Struthio camelus: one gene and its partner. The protein of the gene in region 1 binds, or shares a complex with, the protein of each later gene. Links are inferred from orthologs where the notes say so. Each region holds a gene or a part of one and is shown on either strand. Other genes may lie near its edges.

The links. Proteins that work in one complex are often made in the same cells at the same time.
Region 2: CNOT10 (region 1) and CNOT6 share a complex: the UniProt entries of both Homo sapiens proteins name them as parts of the CCR4-NOT complex. The link is inferred for Struthio camelus from reciprocal best matches to the Homo sapiens genes CNOT10 and CNOT6.

What each region holds. Positions count from the first base shown.
Region 1 is NC_090943.1:47,701,658-47,709,568, forward strand, and holds the start of CNOT10 (CCR4-NOT transcription complex subunit 10), read left to right. Parts: upstream 1-4,868; 5' UTR 4,869-5,158; coding exon 5,159-5,180; intron 5,181-5,334; exon of another isoform or gene 5,335-5,608; intron 5,609-6,312; exon of another isoform or gene 6,313-6,460; intron 6,461-6,619; exon of another isoform or gene 6,620-6,834; intron 6,835-7,911. UniProt on the Homo sapiens protein: Component of the CCR4-NOT complex which is one of the major cellular mRNA deadenylases and is linked to various cellular processes including bulk mRNA degradation, miRNA-mediated repression, translational repression during translational initiation and general transcription regulation.
Region 2 is NC_090954.1:6,505,605-6,513,428, forward strand, and holds the start of CNOT6 (CCR4-NOT transcription complex subunit 6), read left to right. Parts: upstream 1-4,728; 5' UTR 4,729-4,762; coding exon 4,763-4,808; intron 4,809-6,183; exon of another isoform or gene 6,184-6,872; intron 6,873-7,824. UniProt on the Homo sapiens protein: Poly(A) nuclease with 3'-5' RNase activity.

The sequences.
Region 1 (7,911 bases):
TTTATGCGTGAAGTTTTTATGACTGAGACTGGTGCAAAATATCTGCATGGGACAGACGAAAGGGGAACGTGCTGATTCCTAGAAGCCCCACAGTTGAGAAGTAAAGTTTTGTGGGATGTCTTCACTTCAGAGAGTTTCAAAATGTGTAATGGAGGTGCATGGCAACTGGCCAGTCCTTACCTGATCCAAAATAACTTCTGTGTGCCAAATATCCTGGAGATGTGAGGAACTACAGCACCAGCTGCTTACACCTACCAATCTACTCCTATTGCACCAAATGAATAGCTAAAGTAAACAGCCTATGCTATTTTATTCGTTGCTCATAGACAGAACAAAAACTGTAATGGGTTATGATGCACCATACTTTTCCAGGAAAATCTCTTCCACAGCATTCTGAAAGCACAAATTCCATATTTAAATCAGATTCATGGCACCATTTTTATCGACTTTGAGAGACAGATTCAGAGAAAAAGGATTATCGAGCTGAGACTAATAGCTGCATTGAACATGCTCAAATTCACACTAGTTAACATTTTAAATAAGAAGTGCATCTGCGGGGGTGGCGGGGGGACTGTATTACTTAAATATGCCTTACTTTACTACGTAGTGCCACCTAGGGGTTAAAAGCTTTGAAAATGTTGAGTAGCAAGGCATAGGAAGCCATATTAATAGCAGAGATAATTTGTGGTGTTAAACCATCTGCATTTTGGAATTTACTACGCAAACAGAGTGGGTAAACTTCAGCGGAGTTTTCCATACTGTTGTATCTGACAAAAGCATTGTAACTTTCCCAGCTCCCTTTGCAGCAGGTCATAGTCTTCCTTCTCTTCTGTAGCCCAGCAGTGCCTCGGGATGTCAGAAACCCTGGTTTTCTCCTCTACAGTCCAGATCTTTCTCATACGCAGCAGTGGAGAGGTTATCTGCCACTGATAGGCTGGGTAGGGGATTGCTGTCCTGCCATTTTTGGGTCTACAAGAACTTAAAAAAGAGCCTTGACAAGTCATTTGCCTTGTGAGTCCAAAATCAGCGAGGAAACGCAGGCCTACTAAGTCTAGTTTGCTAAAGGAAGGTACTGTAAGAAGGAGGAGTGGGATTCTGGAACTGTCCTCTGCCTGCGAATAGATAGGATTTATTCCTCCTGAAACTGCTTTTTTTTTTTTCCACTTACACGTTACAAATTACAATTGGCTCCCTTTGATGTAGCCTACAAATGGGCAAAAGAAACCTAGAATAATCTGGACCATTTTTGTTTTTCCAAACTGAGTGTTGGGACTGAAAACCTGAACTGGATTATTTCTTTCCTGAAAAACTAAAACTCATGTTTTAAGAGAAATGTTTTGTTTCACACAAAACGTTCTTCTCTCTCAAATGGTATTTGATTTTATTCTGGATCTTCCACAGCAGGTGGCGTACCTGCCACACTGAGACCAGAGATCATTTTTACCTGCTCACTCGAGAAGAGCTACTATATACCTCAGGCAGAAGGCAAATTATACATGCATGTATTAAAGGACGTCTCTCCCCTACCTTTACAGGAAGATAACGAAGCTATCAGAACATTTAATTTTTGAAGGAAAAATATCAAGAAAATCTTTGATTGCATGACTCTATGCTTGAACTGCAATGCTAATAAAGGGCACGGGTCTTTTCCCTGCCCTTCAGCACCCTCCACATACATAAACATTAAATTCAATAATCATTAATCAGAAAGGAAGAAAAAACTCCTAGCTTTATTTGTCCTGTGTTCTTTTTTTAAATAAATCATATTGAAAAAAGAGGCCAGGCATTAAAAATAATTTTGCCTGAGACATAGAAATGGAACAAATACTTTGGTTTTGGAAACAAAAGTCAAAAACTTGCCGAAACAATGCTGCAAGCTATAGCAAAGATTGTCGTAATTACCTCTCAGGTAAACTGGCCCCAGAGTAAATTCACAGCGTGATGGATAAAGTAAACTCTTGTGACTCTCCTCTAGATATCATGATGTAGACACCAAGAGAAGCTGTATATCAGTGCTGCTATACTTGAAGCTGAATGAGCTTTAACAGAACTATCAATAAAAGCTATAGCAGGGAGCAGTAAATTCATGCACAGCGTACTCTGGAACATGCAGATTACTGTTTAGACACTGGGGACAAATACTATACGAAAGTCTTGAGAGAGGGAGACGTTCACATCAGGTCTACATAAGACATTTTTGTTCCGTCAGGAAGGGTGGACGTCTGGCAACTTTGTTATACTGATAAAAGTCATAGGGAATATATAGCTATACTAGTAGAAAAGTCCTTTTCACTTTATAGGTTCTATTGCTTACCAAGCAAGAATATATCAGCATAAATAAATATTTACACTAGTAAATATATACACATTAGAAAGACTTGCTATTACAACTTTATTGGCAAATGTTCTCTAGTACAAATATGACCTAATGGCCTGGACCAGCAACTATTTCTTGCAAAAGGATATGCAACAAATTAGAGAACCAGCAAACAAAATTTGAAATATTCAGAATTTCAGTTATGAAATAAAAAATGTTTTGCCCTGCTCTTCAAAACTCCTGAAATAATGTTTCCAAAATCTTTCATGGTAAAGGACTCAGATGGTTAAAGCCATGATGGTTCAAGGCATTCAGTGCTGGCCTGCCTAAAGTGCGTCTGTTTTTTTCCAACTGTACCCCTTAGTTAAACAAAATGTTACTTTCCTTATAGACCTCACCTCTCTGTTCTGCCCCACAGTATAGTATAGTAGCTGGATGCCTATGACAAACAGACTGGTAAAAAGAAATCCTTCTTCCACTAAACTAGTTTTGCCATCGACTTCTCCAAGGACAAACTTCATCCTCAAACCTTAATCTAATGTGCAAGAGACATACAACAGGTGCAGTATGTTTTAGACAGTCTGGTGTCTCTTGACAAATGCTGCCAGCTGGTAACAGGGTCACAACCATGTAAGGTAGAATATATTAAGCAGAATCAGGTATATCCACACTGACTGTCCCAAACAGAAATGCAAGTAGATGTTTAACAGGAATAAAATTGGGGAAGGGGGGGGAGAGGTCTTGGAGAGCTACATCTGGAGAAATAATATGGAAAAATACAGGAAATTATACCCATATTAACCAATGAGAAAAGTATTTGAAGCAGTGTTTTTCAGGAACCCCACTGCGACACAGGGAAAGCACACAACATAATGATGCAAAGTGACATTCACAGAGGGGCAATTAAGGCTAGCTGTCCCCGTGTCTCAGGAATTTGACTCCTAGGTACAGAAACACAGTGAGCCTTTTGGTGCCTGAGACAGCACCCCCCCTCCGTTTTCCTAACCCCATCCCAGCTCCCACGAACGTATATAGTGGGGGTTCAGAAGTGGAAGCGGTTCCCCTAGGCCTATCCACAGGACAGCCCTACCTGAGAGGCAGGACAACACATGACTGCTGAGCTTACAAAGATGTACCTTAGCAGAGATGAATGCTTACATACTACACAGAGTATTCACAACTCATTAATAAATATTTAAAAATCTGTATAACTATTTTGGATGCTGCAAACGTCATTTATCCCATGTCTCGTACTTTAATTACAAAGATAATGGTAACAATAAAAAATGCTAATTGGAGTCTTTTAAATCCGAGGGGGGGTTACTTTGCAGCACAGCACACTGAATTTCAAGGACACTTCAGATTCATTGTGTGAAACAAGGCTTCCCTGGGGTGTAGAGGGAGGGAAGACTCCCGGCTGGATTAAACTGGTACTCAAACATCAGTTTACAAAGGAATTTAGGATGCAGACACAATGGCACCTTATCTACCTTAATTACTATGGTGATGAGCACTTTAACAACACTTAAGATAGGCTGATAATCCATATAAGACCATATAAAGTAGTCAATATTTTGAAGTGATTAATTCGAAGACAAACTGAAAGTCAAGATAGATTATTTCAGGAAAATCTGGTTATTTGATGCACTTTTAGGAAAAGAATGAAAATGCAGCATGAGTTACAAGTAAATAATGGGAATTATCAAAGTGGAGTTTCATGCTGGGATGCTGAGGGGAAAATCCCTTTAGTGTGCTCCCCATCATCTACATGGAAACCAGCCAGGGTTGGGGTTTGCCTTCTACCTCCAAGGTAGTTTGCTGTTGTTGAACAGGATCTACCGCTTCTCAAAACAGATGTATTTGAGCTCAGACCCAAACCCTCAGTTTTAGAGGGCCGTGTAGTATGTTTCCGTCCCAGCATCTCAAAAATTTTACTCTGAAGGACGGCGCTCTGCTGAGGAAGAGGCCGGGAAGGGAATTAACAGGTACTTTTTTAAAAATTACTTTGCTTTCCTAATAAGGAACATCTTTTCTTCATACCAGATCAGTGACATTTGAAAAGTCCAAGCCTTACACTGTTATCGGGATTGGCTGCTCAGGAAACGATCCTAACATGTCTAGACCAAGGGCGGGGGGCGGGGGGGAGGTTTAAGACGCAGCAGCCAATACACCCACGGACGGCTGCGGAAAAAGCAGCTGCAAAACCGAAGCAGCCTGTTGAAACGCTGTCCCTCTAACGCAAGGAGACGTCCCCCGTTTGGGCCTTGCGGGGACCGTTAGACGGCGCGTTAGCGAGGCCGAGCCGGGTCCCAACGGCCGCCAGGGCCCCCCTCCGCCCCGCTGGGGTAAGAAACAGGCCGGGCTGTTTTCCAGGCCCGCGTCCGTCCCTGGAGCGCCCCCGTCACCCCCCAACGGCCGCCAGCCGTAACATGGCGCCCCGACGCAGCCCGGCAGCGCCGGGGGGGGGGGGGGGGAGTGTGTTGGGGGGGGGTGGCAGTGAGTGCCGCGACGTGATGCGCATGCGCCACCCCGCCCCGCGGCCTCCCCTCGCGGCGTGGGGGCGGGGCGCTGCACGGCGTCCTGACGTCAGAGGCGCGAACCCCAGCAACGGGCGGACGTCGCGAGGCCGCCGGGAACCCGGAAGCGGCGGGCGAATAGGGAGCGAGTGGCGCAGTTAGCGGGGCGGAGGCGCGGCGCGGGGCGCTGAGAGTCCGCGGCGGAAAAGTAGTCCCGGGGGAGGAGGGGGGGGTGGTCCGCGAGCGCGGCTAGTGCTGCTGGGACGGGGTGGGGGAGCCTCGGCCCCGCACCAGCGCTCTCGGACGGAGCTCGGAGGCGGCGGAGATGGCCGCGGACAAGGCCGCGGGTGAGTGCGGGGCGAGCCGCCGTCGGGCCGCTCCGCGCGCGGGGCACCTGGGCCGCGCGGGGCGGAAGGAGACGCGGCCAAGGCCGCGGCGTCTCGTCCCCGTGTCCTTCCGCCGAGGGAAGTAGCGCGCGGGCGGCGGCGGCGGCGGCGGGGCGGCCGGCTGGCGGGCTTGCTCCGCCGGCGGGGCTGCCTGCCGGGGTCGCGGCGGCGCCCCGAGGCCTCGGCGGTTACTAACCCGAGGGCGGCGGGGGGACGGGGCTTCCCCCGGGGCTGAGTAACCGCAACAGAAGTTGCGGCTGGCTTAGTCTGTTCAACGGGGGCCTTCCGACGGCGTTGGGGGGCGATTTCGAAGAAGGCGACCACAATAAACCAGACTTACAATTACTGTATGACTTGCTGGCGCTGATAGCTACTGCTCTTCCTCTCCCGTAAGACTGCGCTTGATGCAGGAAGCCCTCCTGGCTGCGAGGTTCCTTCCCTCAGGTGGTGGCTGGGTGGGGATGAAGTGGGCAATGTGAGGGAAAGCCAAAAGGATCTGCTTGTGTCCTCGAGTCCTTCAGCTGGGCTTCTGCCGTGGGAGCGTTTCTTGGAATTGCCTCTGAAAATTGTCTTTCAATATGCTAAGTGTCACACTTGCTCTCAGTATCTGAAGACCACCGTGGGAAAGATTAGTGTACCTTGCTAAGTGATGCGTATTAAACCGTCCTGCATTTATTTAAAAGAAGCTCACTGTGATTATAAACTACCAGGAAAGTTTGGCGTTAGGAGATTATATATTTCCCCTTTCTTGGAAATGGTGAAGTCAGGAACTTGTCTGTTGTACTAGGTTAGAAGAAAAATACTTGTCCAAATGAAGCAAACACATTGGCTAGATAGTCTGCATATCTGCATGTATGTGCCTATAGCAGAGTGAGTTATGAATAACTTCTGAGTGAAAAATGTTTCCTTCTTAGTGTGCAGTGTTAAATCTAATATGTTGAGATTAGTAGCACAATGCTTCATAGAAAAATGTACTTTCTGAGCCACAAACTGTTGTTGTCTCCTTAGAAGGGCTGAATGCTTTGGCTGCTCTTCATAGCCATCAAAATGTTGTTGGAGTGAGACACCTGTGATAGATTCCTCTCTTTCCCAGGAGGAGATTATCCCCCTGCCTCTAGAGTTTGGAAATATAAAATAATTCGAGAGATGCTCTGGCATTCAACAGCACAGTTTATACAAGGTGTAATTTAAAGGGCCTGGAAACGAGAGGGCTCAAGAGCAGCAATCCTTGGAGATAACAGGTAGGAGAAGGATAACGATTGCAGTCACTGTCCTTTGGGTCTGTGTATGTGGGAGATGTGACTTCTCATTGCTTATATGATGTTGTGTCAGCAGGCCAAAGAGGAGGACAATCTCCCTTTGCAGGTGGCAATCTCATGCTCTTCCTTGTTCTCCTCTAGTAGAACGAGTTCCCCACAAAGCAGATTCTGCTGTCCACCTGGTGCAACTTCTCCAGGAGGAGCAACTACCTGCTGATGCAAAAAGAAATGTCTCCCTGACACAGTGTTTCTGCTGCTCAGCCCCATGTGATACAGGTTGCTAACCAAGAAGATAGTTTCCTGACTTGCTTTCTTTTACATCCAACCCAGTGCAGCAGCTTTCTCCAGATCAAAATGTGAGCAGATAATTTTTACATCCTTTCCCTTTTCCTGGATGTCATTTCTGCTCCTCGCCACTAGTCTGAGAACTATGAGTTTTAGAGATGCTTTGTACTTGAGAAGGTTAGACAACGTGAAAAGTGTAAAAACAAACAAAACAGCTCCACGTGTAGATAAAGTTTGCATAGATAAATTGTGTCCTGTCGTTTGTAAAACAGAGAATCTACACTGTTTCAAATAGTTCGGCTGACATTTGTAGCTGCTCTACAAATAGGAGCATGTTGATAATGACTAGCATGCCTTGTACCTCACGGACCACGTGCTTCTACAAGAACGCCAAAGATCACTAGATCTAAGTAGCATGCTGTATGTTTTGCCAGTGAACCATGTACTTTCGTTTTCAAACGCCTCCGGAAGTATTGACATAATTATTTGCAAGCAGTTGATAGACGTTTGCAGTCAGGATAATAAGAGTACTTTTTCTCCTAAATTTATAAGTGGGATTGGAGGGTTCTTTCTGGTATCTGGGGCAGCCTTACTTTAGATGTCTTGTTTGTGAGGTATCTCAATAATTAAGATCAACCAAAGCAATAGATCCTGGTTTAAACAAGTTTGGGAGGATTACAGTAGATTAGAGGAAGTCGATCAGTTTGGAGCCATAAAACTAACCTTATGGGAGAAAGGGAAGGCCTGTTTTTGCTTAAAATAGTCTCCAATTTCATACTAGGAGACTTAAGAGGTATAGTGAAATCTATTTGTAGACCTGTTGTGTTCTTTCCTAGGAAATAGGTGTAAAGCAGATATTCAGGAGTGCTTTTCTTAGACAACTAGCTTGCAGTCTCTTTGACCTAACTTTCTCTTAATTGAAGAAAAGGCGCTTTGCTTCGGGAATCAGACTTTCATAAGCCCAGTTTCTTTGAGATGCCTGTTTTGTGAACTTGCATACCATAATTACTTATGTGGGTTTTCATGGCACTATAACAGGTTTGTGAAAGTGCTTATAGTGATGTGACAAGTAGCTGTCAATGACATCTTCAGCATTATTCAACTCGCTGTGTGAACCCTGACTCCATGGAACATTGCGTAAACATGTT
Region 2 (7,824 bases), on another chromosome or scaffold:
TGATTGGGATGAGTAAGAACCATGGGATTTTTTAGATCTATTGCTTTACTACTGCAGTATAACCCAAATGGACACACTAGAAAATGTTAACGACTAAATGTTCCTCTAGTCCTGCAAGCTTAAGGAAGAGAATAAGATTCAACATGCATTTTAAACTGCTATAGTCCTGATAATGAATCAAATATCTAAGTAATTATACCAGTCATTTAAACACAGTATACAAATATCTTGGGTGGTGGTAGAGCTCAGCATTAGTATCCCTAACTGACAAAAAGGAGTTAGAAATCCCTCTCTTATTACGGATGTCTTAATATTAAAAGCAGATATTTCTAGAAAGAAATAGCTGAAAGCTTTTTGTCATGTTCAATTTCTTCTTAAGTATTTAGGCAACTTTTGTATAAATACAAACATATGTAATAAAGTAATGCTAGGGTTGCAAAGCTAAGTACCTACAAACTATGGCATCCCAGGATTCAAATTCTTTAATTCAGCTCTACTGTGAATATGCGTAAGGGCAGTTTTCAATTATCTTTTCACACACAAGTCTTCTGGAAGCCGCCTCACTCCATTCTGTCCAGAGGAAACCAGGAATATTAATCTCCTCAATGCTTTTTGTATGGGGCTTTCCTATACTTTTAATGCTCAATAAACATCAAAGATTAATCTTTACCATCCCACTATGACAACAGATGCTATTATGTTCACTTGATAAATGGAGAACAGGCCATAAAACTAAAGGCTGAAATCATGAAGCGTGCAGTGATTCTAGATGTCCGATGTGAGCGCCCCAAGACCTAATTTTTCAGAGTATCTGTGTTTGCAGCAACGTCCCATGTCCAGAGCAGTGATCCCACTGATCTCCACTGCCTTGGAAGCTTCTCTGCAAGTCAGACCCTGGTCTCTCTACCTGGATATACTGAAAATGTAGAAGATCAGGCTTTAAGTGATCTCTGCCCTCCTGTCTGGGATCCCTCACCTGCTTCATTCACTCCCTTCCTTCCTCCTCATTATCCATCCTGCTTCACTGCAATGCTGCTCTCTTTCTTCTCTGCTCCATTTCTCATCCCCGTACATTGCAGTTACTCTGCTCCTCTGTCTTCACATTTCCCAGACACAAAGTGGGAGTGCAGCCAGCACAGAAAGTCTCCTTGTTCACCTCTTCCGTAACCAAAACCGTAAGAGCTTTCCCAAGCCAGGACAGCTCTGAGCTTGTTTTCTTTCAGGATGGGGAGATGCCTCCTGCGTTCGCTCATCCCATATGAGTCACAAAGGATGAAGGACTCTGTCTTTTACTTCAAAGAATTTAGAAGTCAAGCAAGTCTTTACTGAGTCAAGCAAGTCTGTATTTCAAATGATTCTAACTTTACCAAATTTGGCCATTTAAACAAGGGCAAAAGCAAAACGTACCATAACTCTGCCACAAAGGCAATTCTTTACCACAAGTTTCACATCCCTCTGTCAATGCATAGAGGCAATAGGTTCTCAAAACAGCTGTAATTATTTGCAACGTGGACAATTACCTTCCCCACCCCCCTCTCCTCCACACTCCCCAGCTCCTACCTTGAATAAATGCATGAGGAGGGAAGATGACAGAGAGAGTGGGCTGCTAGCAGTTTTTGAGCTAGGTCACAGCAAATGCTTATAGCTCCAGGTGTAAGATCAGAAAGACTGTAGGACATACACCTTTGTCTAGTGGGACACTTGCTTGTGTGCCACAAGCTAGGTTTGGCCTAAAGGCGGCCGCTCAAAGACTCCCATTCCACAGCACAAACATGTATTTATGTACTATTTAATTTATGAATGAAAACTTAAGCTCAGACTATTTTGAATTTAACTTTTCTGCACTCATTTGACTCTCTTTAACAACAGTACTGGCCTGAGCTCAGGACAAGCACGCTCCATGTGACACTGCAGCTCCTGAGATGTATGGAAACTCTCACGGGCAGGTAAAAGATTAATGGGAATGGCTCTCTTTTGATTGATGAATCTGTGACCTTGAGCAACAAGAGCGCTTGCATAAAGTATATCTGCCATGTGAGACAGACAAAATGAAAGAGGCTCGTATTACACTCTCAGATCTCATTAAGCACCCAGACCAGAAACACTAATACTGGCACTAGCCATCTGCTGCAGTGTTTGCCTGGTTACAGTTCTGATGACACTTAACGTGAAGCAAAAGTTAATTGTATGCACAGATGAGCAACAGTGCTTCTGCACAGGAAATTCACTGTAGCATAACGGTTTCTAAAAAAACCACATGCGTGTTTTTACTTCATTCTGTTTTTTTTTCAAATCACATAATCAAATTGACTGTTCAAACAAAACTTATTGACATAAAAGGCCATAACTTTAGACTCTTCAAATATTGCTGCTTTTTTATAAATAACCTCTAAAGTTACCAGAAAGTCAATTTGCCCAATTGCTGTGATCACCTGTTGATTTATATAATAGACAATACTACAGAATTATTTTGTGAGCGCTCTTAAATGATTTCCTCTGATGCTCTCTTTTTTGCTTATCTCAATTACTTGAGAATTACTAGTATTTTCTGCCATTTGGTCTCCATTTGCAATGATGAAGGCCCTTGCCGGTAGACCTTTCCAAGTCTACTGTAATATTATCCCAGTACCCATCCCCAAGGAATGAATTTTCCCTGCAAATTTTGAAAGACTTACGATCAGCTGAGTGTTCTTTGTTGAGAAGCAATTCCTGGAAAATTCTGCAATGCATTCAAAGACTTTACTACTGCTTTTGGAGAATTAACTCTAGGCAAAATGATATAGTCGATTGAGGCCATATCTGACCTAGAAAGTATTAACTGAAGAATGTGGGTGACAGCTGGTTATCAGAAATAAAACATATATAGTAAAAGAGAATGACACATAGAGCTACTTGAGCTAGCTCTAAACGACTGTCAGCTCTACAGGAGCCAGCTTCAGCCCTGGAAGCAGATCCAGCACTTCTGCCAGAACAGGCGCTACGTCCAGTAACGGAGCCAGCTCAGATGTCTTCAAAACCCTACTGCATCATGCAGCATGGAGACATTTCAACATCCGAGAATTTCAGATACGTGACCTGAGCAGGCTGGGCAGAAATCTGAGGTATAGCATGTTATTTAAAGCACCAAGGGAGTAAACTTTTCAGCTGCGTCCATTTTATGACCACGCCTGGTACACCGCGTGGGGTCATTCTTTGCAAAGTGCTTCTTTTGCTGGCCATTGTCGGTGCTGCGCAGGAGCAAGATGAGGTAGTCTCCATTTTTCAACTAGATTAGAAGAGAATGGCCTGTTCCACAACTATGTAAGTGCCGTTTATTTTCACTTACATACCCAGTTATACCTAAACAGATGAAGCTTCAGTTCTTTTTAGCCTTCCTATTTCAGAAATAGGTTGCATTTCTGTGATAACGTTTTTTGCTTACTATCCCTCTTGACTAGATGGGGCACGTTGAGCGCGCTAGCAATTTTCTGTCTCAACATCGCTTGGACGTTTTAACTTTATGATAATCAAGGGAAATCCACTCCATTTTGAGACCATTATTTGCAATTTTGGCCAATGCTACCCCACTGATTTTTTGATTTCACTGATTCTTTGTTCCCCACATCTCTTACCTTCGCATCTCTTGTCTTACGGTAAAATCTTTTGGCACAGTGGCGGTAATAACAACACCTAACAACAACGTCCTTTATTTTTCCAAATATCTCGGTATACCTCCACTAACTGGTTCAAACACGAAATTAAGGAGACCTAACCTGCATTTCACACAGGGTGCCGATGGTGACTCTGGTTGCCATTTTACCGTAAACATCGCCCATGCAAACGTCAGCAGCAAACGATCCAGGGCACTATTTTGTTATTGAAGACACTCACATATAAAAGACATCGCCCTTCATAAAAAGCACATTTTGTCTGAGCACGCATACTGCACGTTCGGGTTCTTAGTGATTCTTATCTACACGCAGAGGAATTTGAAGTTGTTAAAATACACGATTATTTTAATTAGGCTTCCTGGACTTGCGCTAGAAGCTGTTTCACTGCTTTACACCCTTCACACCGGCCTAATATTTGAAACATAGAGGAAACGTTCCTCTCCCGCCTCCCCCGGCCCGGCGCGGGCCCGCGCGGAGGGCGCCTCTGCGGGGCCAGACACGCTTCCCCCCCCCCCAGCACCCCCGTTTCTGCCCGGATCTCCCCCAAACGCGGCTGCGGCCACCCCCGCTGCTGGTTTCCCCCCACCCTCCATTTGCCAGCCCGCCCGGTCTCCCCGCCGCCGGGGCTCCAACGCCGACTCCGCCATCTCGCTCCCCCCCGCCGCGGCCCGGGCCCTGCGCGGCGGCGCCGGCGGCGGCGGCGGGGCCCGGCGCGGCCAATGGCGCGGGCTGTGGGCGGCGGCGGCGGCGGGCGGGGCGGAGGGAGGCAGGGCCGGAGGAGGCAGGGCCGGCCCGCCCGCCGCCGCCGCCGCCGCTACCGCCACCACCACAACCACCACCAGCAGCAGCACCGCCATGATGCTTGTTTGCTTTCAATGAGTGCGAGGAGGAGGCGGGGGGGGGCTGCTCTGCCGTCCGGCCCGCGGCAGGAAACAAAGAGCCAGGCAGGCGGCGGAGAGAGGGCGGCGGGGCGACGGGGATGCTGCAGCCACAGGTAGGGGCCGCCCCCGCGGCCTCGGGGCGGGGGGCGCTGTGGCGGGGAGGAGTATTAATGCCGGGCCGGGGGGCGGGGGGGGGCACGGCCGCTGGTGGGGGAAGGGAGGAGCGCTGTTATGGCGAGCGGGGAGCGCTGCCCGGCGGGGGCTGCCGGGGGTGGAGGTAGGGCGGGGGTTGGACCTCCTCGGAGTTTGGAGGGGGCGGTGGGAGTTAGTTGGTAGGGGGAGGTTCCCCCCCCACCCCCACCACCGGGCTGAGGGGGGTGTCAGCGCCGTGGGCCGGGGCCGTTGCGGCCGCGCAGGCCCCTCCCGGCGCGGCGCTGGGGGAAGGGGCCGCGGGCCCGGCGGGGGTGCGGCGCGGCGCTGGGGGAAGGGGCTGCGCGGCCGCGGGCGGCGCTGGCGGCAGCGCGCTGCCTCCGCCGGGGGCGGCTGCTGCTGCCGCCGCGGGCAGGGCCGGGCCGGGCCCCCGTGCGGGGCGGGGGGTCCCGCCGCCAACCGGCGGTGGCGGGCAGGTAAACACCGATGTGGCGGGTGAGCGTGCAGGGCGCAGGGGAAGCGGGGAAGCTGCCGGGCGTATCGGCCCGGGGAAGGCAATTAAGAGGAATTAGCCTAATGACATCTGGAAGCGTGAAGTTTTGTTTTTTTTTTTTAAACTGTGCAGTTGAGTTTAAAATAATTAAACAAAGACAGGGAGAAAGGTGTGTGTTGGGGGGGGGGGGGAATGACATCAATGTGACAATCGCCCGTCTGCGCTCCGAGCGCAGTTTCCCCCTTCCCGAGAGGGACCGATGGGTCTCAGCCGCGGCGGTGCCCGGCGCTGCTCGGGGCGCGGCTGGGGCCGGCGCTGGCTGGCGGCGGCGGGCAGCGGCCTAGCTGGCGGCGGGGAGGCCGGAGCGGCCCTGGCAGCGCTCGGCGAAGGGGAAGACGGCCGAGGTTGGGGGGGGGGGGGCGTGACGGACGGCGCGGCCGGCCAATGAGGGCAGGCGGGGGGCGGGACTTGCGCGGCCACGTGAGGCCGGGGGACAGACGCATGCAGGGGTAAACAGAGGGGAATTGGGACAGCGGCCCCAAAAGGGGCTTGTTTGTCCGCGGCGCCGCGGGAAGGGGGGCGTCCGCTGGCAGCCGTGGGAGGTATCCAAACGCGTCGGGCTGCAGCGCTCTTGAAGAGGCCATTATTCTTTAATTGAGCTAATTAGGGGAGGAATTTTTACTGCGTTCGTTAGTCCCCGTGCACCTGTCCGGCAGTCTAAAAAAATCTGAGCTGAATGTGAGGCTTTTTGTGCTGCCTGCGCTCTCGGAGCGTGAAGCAATGCGGTAGGAGTTCCCGGGGTCCCTCTGCCGGGGCTGCCTTCCCCCCCTTTACCCTGTCATAGAAAATGTTAAGTCTGGGGCCATACAAGACTTTTAAAAACTGCATTTCTGTGCCTCTGTGTTGCAGACACGGTTCACCAGGAGCTTTTCCACGAATGTTAAAGAGTCATACAAAGCTTACTTTGCTTTTTGCAGTGTAAGAAATGCATTCAGAGCAGACACAGTAAAACAGGGTTGTATTTTTTTAATAAACATCTGTATTTCTGCAGATGCACAAAGAATTGCATTACTGGAAATATAAGCGCATAGGCAGGCGTTTGCTTTGCGACTAGCAAGTCTTCTGGGTTTGGGTTCTTTTTTTTTTTTTTTTTGAGGGTTATTTTCTCAGTCTAGATTTTGCCACGATGGGTAACTAATTCAAAATACAAGGGATTCAGAAATAGCTGTGGCATTTGTCTGGCTTAAATATGAGGATATACAAGTGTTGACTGGTAATTGTTTTGTATCTTGCACTTTTTTTTTTTCTTCATTCTAGAGCAGGTCTCGTAATTGGGAATTTATCAACATTTCCACTGGGGTAATTTTACAGGATTATCCACCCTCTGTTCTTCCTGCTGGTTCATCTGGACTCTGTGGAGTTTGCTGCTAGCAAAGAAGCCTTCTGTGGGGGTTTATTCATGCTATTACTGAAATGGAGCCCTTCACGTTTGGATTAACTCTTTATTCACTTTGCACCTGAATCGCTTGGATCGGTCCATTTTATTAAAAGGATACTACCATGCATCTCTTTTCTGTTTGCATATTGAAGTTGAACTCTGAGCGCAGTCTTGATGTGTTCAGGCTGTTTACTGTGCTTGAATTTTAGAGGAAGAACTGAAATATAAAGATAGATGAGACTGTAATACTGCATGGGCAGGTAAATACTCTTGACGTTTTACATATGAAGACTTAAAAACATGTCACAAAGGGTCACAAATCGAATGAGTGTGGTACCCGTAGAAATAAAAAATGTTAAGGTCAGGCTGTTCTGGATATTAGGAAGACTTGCTCTTCTAAACAAGTGCAGTGTTCATAATGGAAGAGGCTATCCTTGAAAAGGGGTAGATGCTCCCAAGGGTGAACAAACTAAAAATTCTTTCCCAACTCAACAACAAAAGCATCCCTTTTATAAAGCATGGCAGCGAAAATAAAAATGGGCTGTATTCTATCAGTAGGAATGCCAAAAAGCTAAGTGTTTTTGTTTGTAGTGCAATGTAGCTTATTATATGGATTACCAGCGTGCCTAGGAGGCCAGGTGGTGAACCTGAATTCCTCGTTCCGGTTGCGTAGCCCCTGCTGCAGAGGCTGTAGGCCTACTTCTTCTGTTTACCAGCAGACTATTGAAATTCAAATTTTTCTCTTGTTCTGTCATGTAATTGTGGCTGAACGTGTGTGTATGTGCAGTTTGTAACACACCGTCCCTGGTCCAAAGGGGGCTAATTTAAGTGAAGGGTGTACCTAGACGGTATTTTCATGAATGAAATATACTTTTAGTCTTTAGAATCTAGTTGCATATTTTACAAGAATTGATAGTTAACCCGATATTACTTTTGCTAGGAGAAATGTACAGTGCCCAGAGGTAATAATTATGTATGAGCTTGGAAAAGTAACACAGACCTTAAAATCCCAGAAGAGCAATCTCTGCAGACCCTACATTTCGTTTCTAGTCCTAGCTACACGAGAGAGAGGTTGACTCTTGCCCTGTGGCATACAATGTGCCTTGGTTTTTTTTATCTGTGTATTGAGATCTTAAACCATGAAGAGATCTTTAGACTGGATTCAGTAGCGGTAGCTAAGTGTTTTGATGCTGAAAATACTGTGTGATTTTT